Medicago truncatula: one gene and its partner. The protein of the gene in region 1 interacts with the protein of each later gene in a pairwise test. Links are inferred from orthologs where the notes say so. Each region holds a gene or a part of one and is shown on either strand. Other genes may lie near its edges.

Region 1 (6,806 bases):
GGGTCCCGTTTTGGGTCCACCCATTAGGCCATTCCTCCCTTGGGTCCCTCACCCACCCTCACATGACCACAATAAGAGGTGGACCCATATCCATTTTCACCAATAAATAAACCAAAAAATAAAATAGAGATACGTACAACAAAATAATTAATAAAATTATCGATATTAACCTAAAAACGCGTAGATGATATATCACGAGTTTCTTTTAGTTTAATTAAATTCTAAGTTTGAATTGAGTCTTGACCATGCATCAACGTTAAAAATCGAAAGTCAAAATTTTTGGTTGATAAAGATCTTATAAAAACTTATTTCAAGCAATGCGCAAAATCCGGTATCAAGAACAATAGCTATGGGACCTGAAACTACTACTTAATCTAGAACCTACAAGATGATGCTCATGATTTCAATAACTATACTACTGATTTAGAGGAGATTTTCAAAAAAAAATCATCTATTTAAATTTTACAAGACTCAAAAAATTAGTCTCCACAGTTGCATGCACAAATGATATCTAATTTACACCAAAAAAATTACATAGTATTAATACATTCTTAAAGAACATTTTTGTAACTGATTTTAAGTAGTACACTAATTACATAACTTCAAGGGATACTAACTTAAAATCAAGAATAAAACCTTTATAAAACCATGAATAACGGTTATTTTTATTCTAATTTTAATTGATAATATTCTTATTACACATCCAAAAATTAAATTTTGGCAGCTGTAGAGTAGAATAATAACAGTACTACTAGTACCCCCCATTGCACGGTTCAAGAAGCCAGCACCACCAATACTGGGCCCCACATTCCCCCCACTTTTCTAGTTGACCCACACATACATGGACCCCACCATTTCCCCTTCCCCACTCACGTGCCCACGTGCTCTTCTCTTTTCAAACAACATCGTTAACCAAATTCAACGTTCTCTGGTTCTATGGTTCTATCAATGCTTCGAAGAAGACCTTGATAATAACTGAAGCTCTTGTCTATCATAAATCTCCAATGAAAAATCCCTTAACATCTGAGTAGTGGTTGTTGCCGCCGTGCTTGGAGCCATCACGGTGGCTCTAGCTGGAGACTTTGTTGAAGGAGATAAAGAACATGAAGCTTGTTGAACTTGAATAACTGGTGTAACCATGGAAGAAACAAAACCGGTTATTGGTCTAGCCAATGTAAAAAACTGTGGTTGATTTGTTGGAACAACGAAAAAAGTGTTTCCGTTTGGTACAACAGCGTTTGATGGTATAGCCCAAACAGGAACCATGTTTTGTGGTAACTGAATTGTGGGTTGTTGAGGAATTAGGTTTAGGTTTGTGTTTGTGTTTATGTTTGAGGTTGTTATTAAACCGGATGAAACAGAAACAGTGGTGTCGTTTATATCTACGTAAGCACTGTTTGATGGTCGTTTACGTTTCTTTTTCTCAGGTGATTCATCGGATTGTTGGTTTGGTTCTTGGTTAGGGTTTTTGGTTGGGGAAGTGGTGGGGATTTTTAGTGTTCCGTTGACTGACATGGCGATGGCTGGGACTGTGCCGGTACCGGTGGCGGCAATGATAGCTGGCTCCGCGTGTTCGAGGAGCCAGCGTATTGTTTCGCCATCGGACTTATGTCCGAGTTCTCGGGTCAGCTGAAAGATCCGAGCTGCACATGTGGCAGGCATTCGGATCCTTCGGCCTCGACCCTCGACTTTTGTGTGACGGTCTTTTGTAGATGATCTCTTTTGAATTGTTTGTTGGGCTTGAGCTTGAGCTTGGGCCTGGGTTTGAGCTTGAGCTTGGGCTTGGGCTTGAACCAAGGCTTTGTTCACTTGCATGGACATAGGTATCCCCGGTGGCACGTGCATGGTCATCGGCATAACTTTTATCGCCGATACATCTTCTATTTCCGGTTCTTCTTTCGGCTCTCCAAGAGTGAGATCAATGTTTGTAGAATTTTCTTTAGCCATGAATGAAGAAATTGAAGGTAATGGATAAGGAAGATGATTTAGATTTGGTATAGAATTTGAATGCGAGAATGAAAGTGTGTGAATATATATAGCACAAAGAGAGTGTTGAGATTGAATGAAGAGTGAAAGGGTTGTTATTAAATGTAGGACATAGAGGGAGGTAGTAACCAGTGATATAGAAGGATGGGACCCTTATGATACCGTCTTATATGATATTACATGGAAAGAAATCTACGGTGATCGCTATTGGACCCACTATGATAAGGACTAATCCATGTGATGGGTCCATTCTTATGGGGTTAATGTTAGGAGGGTTTTGGTCAATGTTATACACTTGTTTGGCAAACTACACAAAACAATTGTTAAAAAGAGAGTGAAGGATAGGAAGAGGATGAAAAGAAGAAAAAAAAATGAAGAAAAAGAGTATGGAACTTGATAAGATTCTTTCTTGCATGATTAATTGATGATGGCATGAACTATTTGAAGGATAAGGGAAATGATTCTTTTTTATGTAAATATTTTTTGTATATAGGTTTTTTTTATATTTGGATAAATCTTTTTTCTTATATGATCTCATGCATTTTTTATGATCTTGTATGTGTGAAAGTCAATATGGTATAGTTTTTGTGCGACACAATGGAGTTAAAAACATAATGCTACTTGTATAGTAAAAAAAGAAGAGGAGTGTTAGTTTTACATAAAAAACAGATTTTGCATAGCGTATGGAATACATTTAGAGTTATTTGCGATTTGATTTTTGTCAAGGTTTGGGGTTCGAACCCCGACCACCATTAAAAAGTGATTTGATTTTTGTCTTAGTTCGAATTGGATATCTTCTACGTCGAACAATTAATTAAGATGATTTGATATGCAAAGCAAAATAAAATAATATCAAAATATAATGTAGGGTAAATAGTCATAATGTGTAATGAATATTACAATAGTCTCTCAATTCGTCGAAATTTCCAAATATTATCTGACTGTGCAATATGTTAGTCAAAATAATCTCTGACATTAAAATGATCGGCTAAATCTAATATTGTCGTATCAATCCATATAGGTATTTACATTATGTTATACAATTTCTGTAAGAAAAGAGTTACTATGAGCATCAAAAAAAATAATTTCTAGGTCAGAGACTGTTTTAACTGACGGAATATACAATCAAAAACTATTTTAGAACTTCGATACACAGATTATTGTGACTATTCGTTACACATTTATAGACGAAAATGACTACTTACACTATAATGTACAAGAGAAAATCAAAATATAGTATCAAATGTCAAAATACATTTTTGAAAAAAAATTCACAATGTTCTTTTAATAGAAATAATTTAGGATAAAGGAATTATGCATCCGTTCAAAGTTATTTTTACCACCCGATCAATTCCAGGAATTAATAATATCTCACCTAACAACTTTGAATTATTTTTATAAATAACATTTCCATGTATAAATAGTTTTGCTTTTACATGAGTGAGATATTAATTTATTATATTATATTTTTTTTGAGAGAATTTATAATATTATATTTATCAAGCTAACAACTTTGAATTATTTTGTATAAATAGTTTTTGCTTTACATGAGTGAGATACTAATTTATACTTTTTTTTATCAAGCTAACAACTTTGAATTATTTTGATTAAATAGTCCCATGTATGAATGGTTTTTGCTTTAAATGAGTGAGATACTAATTTATACTTTTTTTATCAAGAAATGACACGTATACAACTTCTTACAAGATTGTTTTTTTGACACGAACTTCCTACAAGAAATTAAAGTATTGGCCATACATCTAAGGTTGAATGCATTTAATTGATCATACATCTAAGGAGAGTTTTGTTAAAGGATGTTCTTAACAAATTTGCTAGTATATTGCCATCTTAGGAGAATAATACTTTTGTCTCATAAATCGTGCACTTAAATTTTTTAAAGTATAAACATTTTTATTTTTGATATAAAAATATTACATTTAAATTTCGTAGCATGTACTGAAAGAACATAAATTAACAAAACCCTATATTTAATGGAAAGAAAAAGAAAAAACAAAAAATGGTCCATCGAGACTGATGATAGAACACGAAATATCACACACTTAGCCAAAACAGTAGAATATAATATATCAGAAAAACTGAAAATCATTATGAAAAAACAAAATTAAAAAGTAAGAAATTATAAGATAGCCCAAAAGATACATCAATGTGGGAATTCCCTTTGCCGTAAGAGATTAAGATAAGAAATGACATCATGTAGAAAATGATAAGGAAATTGTTGTGCTTTTAGACTAAGAAAGTTTAATGACAAACTACAACTTATATTCATTGGAAAGAAATCAAACAAAATAAAGAAAACAAAACATAATAGAAAAAAGACAGCATTGACAAAGATCTGAAATCGAAAAGTCACAATAGTCAATGTATCGAAAGCATGTTTTGTGTGCATGTGTGTGTATCTTTGTAGAAGAGTATACATCATAGGATACGTGAAAGAAATAGTGAATGATTCATATTTCAGATAGGTTTGCTTCAACAAATTATGATTTTGGGTTTTCAACAAAATGTTGAAGAATATTTTAGTTGAAAAATCATTGATTTTTTAAAACCACATAATTCTTAATGAAGATTATAAGAATAATTAACTGCAAATATTGATCTTAATATAAGGAAATTCGTCATTATTTTCAAAATATTTGGTTGACGTGTATATGGATCATTTGAAGGAGCATAACATGTGACTGATTTTTCAAAACAATGTGGTATCCACCGCTCAGATGTTCGGTATAAGATGAAACCCATTCTTTGTGGTAGGTTCGTAAACACTTTTGGAATTGTCATCTCAATGTTAAATGGGATCATAAGCAATTTTTAACAAAGTTGGATGAAAATGGATAACAATAAAAATACTTTATGATTTAAATGACTGATATTTTTTTTTTGGTGAAGATTTAAATGACTGATATGTTAGAAGAAAATAATTAAAGAAATAATTTCTAACAAAAAATAATTAAAAGATTAACTTATTACAAACATCTAACTTAAAATGATCACTGGGTATTTGACCTAATATATAAAAGATCCTTTTCAATTTTAATTTGAAGAATAACAAATTTGATGTAATTATTAAATATTAAAATTACCAACAATTTTAGTTTTTTTTTTTTCAAAAAATAAACAATTTTAGTTTTTTTTTTTTTTTGAATGAGCTTATGAGCTCAAAGTAAAATAAAAATTGGGCGAGAAAAAAAAGGCGAACTCACTTAAAATTATGAGTTTATCTAATTTCACTATTTTGTCCAAACTTTGATTAACACTAAGCTCGCATCTTGCTATTGAATGAGCTGATGTATTTGTTTTGGAAAATGTTAAATAAGACAATTGAACTTGTTTTTCTTACACAAGGGGGTAGATTTCGTGGTACTTAACTCAAACATGTTTCACCTCTTATGCTCGTACCATTTACTGGATTCTCAAAATTATATATAAACTCGTGATCTTTCATGAAACTAAAATTGACAAGAATTATCACATCCAATTACTCACATTGTATCAAAAGATTTAACAATCGGAGAATTTTTCTTGAAATCACTATCCTTAACCCAATCTCAAGTGAGCAGACTTCTAAGATCTCTATTAAAAAGTAATGTGGGGAATACTTTATTTTGGTATGATAATTGGTTGGGGATACACCTTTATGTTGTAAATTCCCCCGCCTTTTTTATTTGTCTGTGAGCAAGGAGTGTACGGTGGAGGATATGAGTAGGGAAGGTTGGGAGGTTGGAGGTGGGGGGTGGGCGTGGAGGCGAAGATTAATGGCGTGGGAGGAGGAAAGTGTGAAGGAATGTTCTATGTTACTTTCTAATGTCATTTTGCAGGTTAATGTTCATGATTCTTGGATTTGGTTGATAGATCCTTCCCGTGGTTACACGGTACGGGAAGCATATCGCTTTCTCACTGATAATGGTAACGCTGGGAATAGGACTCTGGTTGAAGATGTTTGGCATAAGAGCATACCCACTAAGGTGTCAGTATTTGTGTGGCGCCTTTTCCGAAATAGACTTCCTACTAGAGACAACTTGGTTCATCGGCGAGTTCTTCTGATAGCAGACTCGGTTTGTGTGTCAGGTTGCGGTGCTTATAAAACCACAAATCACTTGTTTTGCATCTGTAATATTTTTAGTACGCATTGGGATCATATTTTGCATTGGTTAGGCTTATTTGTGGTGTTTCCAGGTGATATTCGGCGGCATTTTACACAATTCTCTAATTTGGTCGGATTGCCTAGAGCCACTCATTATTTCCTGAAAGTAATCTGGTTCGCTTATGTTTGGGCTATTTGGAAGGAAAGAAATAACCATGTGTTCCAAGAAACGGTTTGTGATCCTTCTTCTTTAGCTGAAAAAGTGAAGCTGAACTCTTTTATGTGGCTGAAAGCATCGCATACATCTTTTATTTATTCTTATTATGACTGGTGGAAACACCCAATTCCTTGCATGGGTGTTATTGTGTAATTTTCTGTAACTTTTTTATGGTGCTCTTCTAAAATAGCACCTTACTACTGTATCTTGGTTAATCGGTTTACCTTTTGCATGTCTTGTGCACGGTAAATCGCCATTGTTCATAATATATATCTCATTTTAGTTTGTTAAAAAAAAGAGTAATGTGGGGCTTAAACTTTTTTAAAACAAATTATTATTAATAAATTATTTGTATCATCACCAACACATAGAATAACTATTTCAATAGCCTATAGGATAAACTCAAACTCCAATTCAAAACCAATTTGTTTTTTTTTTCTTTTACTATTATTATTACAAGAACAAGAACAATTTTGGATGGGACTAGGCTTAAAAGTGATA
Region 2 (7,403 bases), on another chromosome or scaffold:
GAAAAAGGGATAGAATGAAGGCACTGTACACCTCAATTCCTAACATTGCCATGTTCGATAAGAGTTCTACGACCAGCTTTCACTCTATTGGAGGCACTGTACACCTAATGGTACAACTTTTTTTCTTTGGTGGATCATTCAGCTACGAGTATATATGAGCTTGTAGTCATTTTCATGGTCTAATTCTCAATGTAAATATTAATTGTTAAGATTTAATCACATGAAAAGAGTCTAACCCAAAAGACTAATTTGTTAGGTGAAGAGTATTGTGGCTTAAATACGACATTGAACGATTTTATCTATTTATTATAGGATTCGTATCAAACTATTGTTTCTTCCTTTTCTATCACATTTTTAACATGTGCGAACTGCGAAGCAGCTGAGATATGTGTAGGGATAATAAAGATAGAAAAAATGAAGGATCAATATTAGTTGGCTTTGAGTTTTAGTAAATTTGTAACTTTGTCTATGAGTGCTTTTGATTTTATATGTTGAAACACAAAAATGGTATTTTGGTATTTTTTATAATGTGTCCTCTCCAAAAGAAAAAGAAAAAGTTTTTCCATCGTTTAGTGAGGGATAAAAATTCTTGTTTTTGTCTAGTCCCTTGCTATCTATTTTGTTTAATGATTAGTTTCTAAATCAAACAAAGTACATAAAAGTTGTACAGTCCAGTCTTTTGATTTTTAAGAAGTCAAACGTGCCATATATGACTCTCTAAACTATTCATTTTCTCTAGTTTAAAAATTCATTTTGATCATTTATCTACTTACTAAATATATTAAGGTTACCAAAGTCACCAAATCGTAAAGGTAGCCAATCAATTTATAAAAAAAAAAACGGAGAGATGGTAAAGAGTGATATAATAAAAAACGAAGAAGGGTGAGTTTTGTTTTTTTGTCAAAAGAAGAAGAGAGAGATAGAATGAAATTAAGAAATGAGGTTTAAAGAAATTAAATTTTTATATTTGAAATGTGTGTACAGTACCCCTTTTTTTTTTTTTTGAAGGAATGTGTGTACAGTACCTGTTCTTAAATTAAGTTTGGGTCTAACAAAGAGGACGAGCCCAAACCGAAGAAACGAGACTTTATAAAAGGATAAAGGGTAGAGATATCGTAGACATGACACATTCTTAAATACTAGGTTATTCATTTGATTGGGGCAACCACTAGCCCTTGACGACAACGGTAACCTGGACTTGTGCTCTTGACAACAACACTTACAAATGAACCAACCATTGAAGGTCGCAAGTGTGTATTAAAAAGTTTGTTTAAAATATCCTTAGTTGAAAAGAAAATCAAATACAACAAGTTGATTATGCTATCAAATTTATTGAGAGTGTTGTATTAAATAACTTTAAATCTTTTATTATAGGTAAATGCTATTTTTTTCCTTCAAATAGGTAGATGTTAGTAATTAATTAATTGAGAATATGTCATTCTAGTAAAAAGTTATATTTTCATTTTAAAAAGAAATTAACTTTCATTCACAAATATACATCCTTAAAATTCACTTGTTTTCAAAAAAAAAAAATTGGACAACTTTTATTTTTTGCTAAGCCTGAAAAACTTTTATATCATTTTCCAAAAATGTTGCAGCATTTCAAATTCCTAACACCACAAAAATACGTTATAGAGTAAACGATGTCTTTAACTTATAAACTCATCTTCAGCCATTATCTTATCTAATATAATACCAATGATAAATAGAGACACCCATTAAAAGTAAAACCTCCAGTTTGCATATCATTATTGACTGGATACTGAATTTGTTAAATCTTTAACACAGGCACAATTGATAGTGTTTAAGGAATGGGCTTTATTTAGTGTTCAACCTTGATGTTTTTTAGGGTCCAAAAATTTGAAACAACGAATTTGCTTATAAACACGCCTTACCTTCTCTATGTACACTACTTTCATTCACTATTAATCTTGTCCTAACCCTTAAAAATATAGCTATAGACTACTTGTTTTTTTGAAAAAGAGTTATATAGACTACTAATACGGGAGGGGACTGTGTATTTCTATTAATCTTGTTATAACAGTACTTAAATATAGTTATAGACTACTTTTATTTTTAGAGTTATAGACTACTGATTGGGATGATGATTATTTGTGTTATTAAGGAAGCTGTACGTACTCTTCCTATATTATTAACCTAATTCACTAACATGTACTCCATCCGATTTCAATTATAAACAAAAGTTTACTTTTTCATTAAAAATTTGATGCAATGTAATACATTTTTGTGTTAATTTACTTTTTACATTTTCAGTTTTAAAACAACAAAACATAATGTATGTTTGGTTCAGTTATGACAAAACTTTATTTTGAATAAATTGATTTTATAAAATTGATTATGACTAAAAGTAAATTTAAGATAAAATTATTTAAATTTGGATACATTCAGGTAAAATCAATTTAAGGTAAACAACAAATTTTATAATCAAAAGCTTCAAATTAGAATGAATTTGGGAGACAAAATCAATTCAACTCTAGAAAAACCTAACATATCAAAAAATTAATTATATATCTCTAGAACCAGTTTTAATTCCTTCAAAAGTAGAATCAAACATGCACTTAAATTGTTTTGAGAAACAATTTTTAAAAAGAAGGCAACAAAACATGTTTATAATTTTCAAATTTTAAAAAATAGAAAATGGTTGCTGCAAGAATTTACTTCCTAATCGTATACTAGGTCCTTAAAATGTTTTGTACGGACATATTGTTGATGCAAGAATTTACTTGCAGATGCACCAGATAAGCAACTTGTTGCTGCAACTGCAAGAATCTGTGATGCACCCTTCAAATATTATTCTATGTTATGACACACATCCGCAAGCTTCAATATTGGAGCTGTGTAGGCCACTTTGTTCAGATTTGGACATGTCAGTGACAAATATACATCTAAAATATGAATCTGTTTTGAATATTCTAGTTAGTTTGCAATTACTTGACATCATCTTCCAATTTTAAAATGGATTTTGCTAATACTTACGTGAGCATTGGCATGTTTGAATGTAGTCAGAGGCAGTAATATATAGTTGTAAATTAGCTTTGCACAAGAGGAACTTACGATGACGTGGGTCATATCTCTTATTCCCGTGTTCTTATCCGTACGTAGACCGTGGTTGCCACACTCTTAACAAATATGGTAAAGCTTATATCATGCATTTGTGAGGAGTCCACACGCATTTCCCAGTTTTGTAGTATCTTGATTGACCAATCACCATGATTTTTTTTTATTTTATTTCAGGATTGATCAATTCAAACATGAACATCTCAACAAGACAACAAACCATTTTGAAACTATTATGTTGTTTGACGAAAGAAATGTAGTTAAAATGTATAAAACGGGGATAGAACCCCGGATGCAAACCTCAAAGGTGCGCTCTTTACCACTAGACGACATCATACATATGCAGGCACCGACCCAAGTGGAAGTTTATGTGTGCCATGACCCTCACGATGTTTTGATTTTTTTTTTAATTTATTACTTAATTCTCTCTAAATTTTATTAAGACCCCCACACATAAAAACCAATATACTAATATTTAATACATTAAAAGTCAGTTCTGTAAAAAAAATATACATTAAAAGTCGGTCTTCTTTCAAAAAAAAAAAATACATTAAAAGTAGATCTCTTGTCTATGTTATGAATATTATAAAAAATTATACGTTAAATCATACAAAAAATGAATGATTAAAGTATTGTTTGATTATTTTTATTCAAAGTGATATTTTCATTGACATCGAATATGAATAAATCGGTTAGTATTTATATAATATGAAAAACAACATAGAACAATTACGATGCATATTTATGTTTTAAAAATTAAAATATTATATATCGATCTGTCCCAAATTTACATATATATGTGGCCTAGACCACTCAAAATTTCAGGGTCATGTGACATAGATGTGCAAATATATATATAGACACATATATATACCCTCTATTTGATTAAAAATATGTATATATACCATTAAAAATGAAAGTTTTGAGATTTTTGGGAGGCCATGGCTTTCCTATATCCCCACATAGCTCTGCCCATGCTGTCAAGCATGTGTCCCATAGGTAACTTGTTCATGTTGTGAATTAATGGAAAATAACTTTAAATGGGAAAGTTAGTCTTCAAAATTTTAAAACTATGATAATTATTAATTTATTAACATTTGTATATATAAAAAATTAACAAGTATTCAGATATTATTTTGAAAAATTCAAAAATTAGGAAAGTATTAAAAAATTAATTTAGTTGATAAAAATAATAACAAAATTTTGATAATTATTTAATGTTTTTCAATCAACTCGTTATATTTATCCTTCAAATAAATCAACTCATTATATTAATATGATAAAAGATTATATTTATAATTAATCAATTAGAATGGTGGTAATCTCCTAAACTTATCTGAACTAATTCTTATACATAAAATATCACTAACAACCATTTAGACGACATCATCTAGTTTGTCTTATTTTTCTTTAAAAAAAGAAAGAAATTGATCCCTTGACCAAAAAAAAAGAAAAAAAAGAAAGAAATTGATCCAATAGAATTTCAATAAAATGGAAGGAAAAAAAAGGAAAAGACAAAGAACACGTGCTGAAGTGATTAGAGATAGATGATCGAAGCGAATGAACATGACTCTGCCACGCGCCTTCGTGTGACAGGTATCCTCCCGCCACACTCCTTTCTCATAAAATAACCAATCCTCTTTTCTCTCTCCTCTGCCCTAATTCTAATTTCAAATTAAATTAAAATCTCTTTCATTTTCATTTCTCGATTCCAAATCAAACTTCTTCATCCTTCAACCTTGATTCATACTTCAATCAACATATTCTAATTCCATTCCTTCTGATTATTCTTCCACGAACCAGGTTGGTGAGCCAAAAAAAATCACTTTTTTTTTTTTTATGATTAGATCGTTTTCTGTTTGATCCATTGAATTTCATGTTATGGAAATTAAAGTTAGGTACTTTGGCTTATTATAATCCTAAATTGATTGAATCTGGAAGCATGGGTTTTATTTACTTTGTCACTAGTAGTGAAAAATTAAAATGAAAATATTCAGATTTTTCATATTCCTTTTATTTCATTTATTGGGTCCTTGTTTTTTTTATCAGTATCGTTTAGGGTGTAAATTGAAGTAATTTTGTTTTTGTACTTTAGGAAAATTGTTGCTGAAGAATTGAAGACAGGGATAGCTGGTTTTGTTCATATGGGATCGGAGAGTGTTGCTCCTATGATTGAGCCATCAAATAACAGGTTAGAGATTCAGAAATTGTTTTTTTTGTTAATACAGTATATTGAACTTCCATTCTTTCACTGTTTTCCTTTGAAGAAGTTTTCTGAAATGATGTGATAAATTTGATTTATTTACTTGGTTTGGGTATGAATACTGAATATATAACTATCTATTTGTTTTCTTTGATTGAATTTTGAAGCTGTTAATAACTTCATCTGGCAGTAATTGTTACTACTACTTGTCGCAAAATCACGAATTTTAGATTTAGCCATAACTGCTTAGAAGTAGCAGTGATGGTAGTGACAGTGATAGTAGTAGTCATGATACCAATAGCATAGTTTTTGTGGAACAACATATTTGGTTTTGGACTCAATATGTGTACGCTTGATTGACCTCAGGTCTGATCCTGGTACAATGAAGCAAGGGAAAGTCCCTAAGAGAATTCACAAGGCCGAAAGGGAGAAAATGAAGCGTGAACATTTGAACGAACTCTTCCTTGATCTTGCCAATGCTCTTGGTAACTTCTTATGCCTCTGTTATTTTTCTTTAGTCGCATCACTATGTTCAAATTTTACTGTTTACCTGCTTGCTCCATTCGATATGACAGTTATGTTTTATATTTACTTTGTCTTGCTGTACCATATCTGATATGTTGCTCGAATTTGACTTTACGTGCATGTTCCCCCCCTTTTCTTTTGGTGTTTTGGTGGTGATGGGGATAGATCTCAGTGAGCCGAACAATGGAAAGGCTTCAATATTGATCGAAGCTTCTAGACTGCTAAAAGACTTGCTCTGTCAGATCCAGTCCCTCAAGAAAGAGAATGTCTCTTTATTGTCTGAATCTCATTATGTAAGATTGGCACTTTTTTCCCTCCTTTGATCCCATCATTTTACCCTGTTGAGAATACTGCATGTTGAATTTTGATGTTTATGTGGAAAAGCTTTTATTGTTTGCTAGTTTACTTGAAATCCATTCCGTTTGTGTTACAGCATTCTGGCCAGTTACTTACTTGAGCCGATTAGCAATACGTCACAATTTGATGTCACAAATCAACACACTATTTGACCTGCGTGTAATTCATGTGATTGGCTTAATTGGACAGGTGACCATGGAGAAAAATGAGCTAAAGGAGGAGAATAGTAGCCTAGAAACTCAAATTGAGAAGCTTCAAGGCGAGATACAGGCAAGAATAGCTCAATCTAAACCTGACTTGAATGCGCCTCCTCAATTAGAGCTTGAGTCACCAGAGCAGACAACTTTTTCAGGACAGAGTTTCCAATTGCCTACCGTAGATCCTACCTTGCAGCAAGGACCTACTGTTTTAGTCGTCCCCTTTCGTCCCGATCTTCAAGCTGCTTACCCAGCTCCTACTGAGATCACGCCAAACCCTCCACTTGTTATCAGTAAACCTCATGCCAGGTATCCCACACCAGCAGATTCATGGCCATCACAACTGCTTGGAGAGCAACCAACTTCTAGCTAAACATGTTAATTTGTAGAGTTCTAGTTTATGTATTGCTATAACCAGCCAATTACCTTATCTAATTGCAATGCTGGTCTGGAGCTGTGTATAAATTTTATATATTCAATGATCTTAGAAAATTTTACTCAATTCTATTGTGCCTTAGTTGTGAGTTGAGCTAGTTCGACTTCTTTTTATTTTTTTCTTTTCCATGAGCTGAGCTGAAAAGATGTAGCCTATGATCTTGGCAGTTGGTGAAGATCATATGGTTGAGATTTCAAGTTTCCAATTTGCCATAGTTAGGATGTGAGTCATCATTTGTTCTGGATCCAACTGATTGATTGGTTGCAGGAATTATTGACTGCAATGAAAAAAAGATCCTTGGTTTTGTGGAGATTATTTTATTGTGCTTTTCCTTGGGACCGTGTCTGATGATTGAGCCACAGAAATGAGTGGATTCGTCTATTCTAGTTCTGGGATGAAATCTTGTCTTGACACTTCTTTTTGGTAAGATTTTAAAGGGAAGTGACTGAACAATGAACATGGGAAAAAAGTCACCTTTAATTTCGTTTTTTCGTTTTCAACACATAGGGATAGAAGAAACTGGTCAACTTTTTATCTCTACTTTGGTAGAATGGATTCCGATTATGATTGAATGGGAAATGCATTATCTTGGCAAAATTTTTGTTGG

The links. The genes of interacting proteins can lie anywhere in the genome.
Region 2: the proteins of transcription factor TCP9 (region 1) and transcription factor bHLH47 interact in binary tests that used the Arabidopsis thaliana proteins (3 or more experiments, as listed by UniProt). The link is inferred for Medicago truncatula from reciprocal best matches to the Arabidopsis thaliana genes TCP9 and PYE.

Annotation. Positions count from the first base shown.
Region 1 is NC_053049.1:13,108,496-13,115,301, reverse strand, and holds transcription factor TCP9, read right to left. Parts: upstream 2,094-6,806; 5' UTR 1,948-2,093; coding exon 946-1,947; 3' UTR 516-945; downstream 1-515. Other genes in the region: uncharacterized protein, read left to right, coding at 5,760-6,072, 6,181-6,458.
Region 2 is NC_053045.1:52,936,186-52,943,588, reverse strand, and holds transcription factor bHLH47, read left to right. Parts: upstream 1-4,675; 5' UTR 4,676-4,881; intron 4,882-5,173; 5' UTR 5,174-5,222; coding exon 5,223-5,269; intron 5,270-5,647; coding exon 5,648-5,766; intron 5,767-5,971; coding exon 5,972-6,099; intron 6,100-6,352; coding exon 6,353-6,733; 3' UTR 6,734-6,884; downstream 6,885-7,403.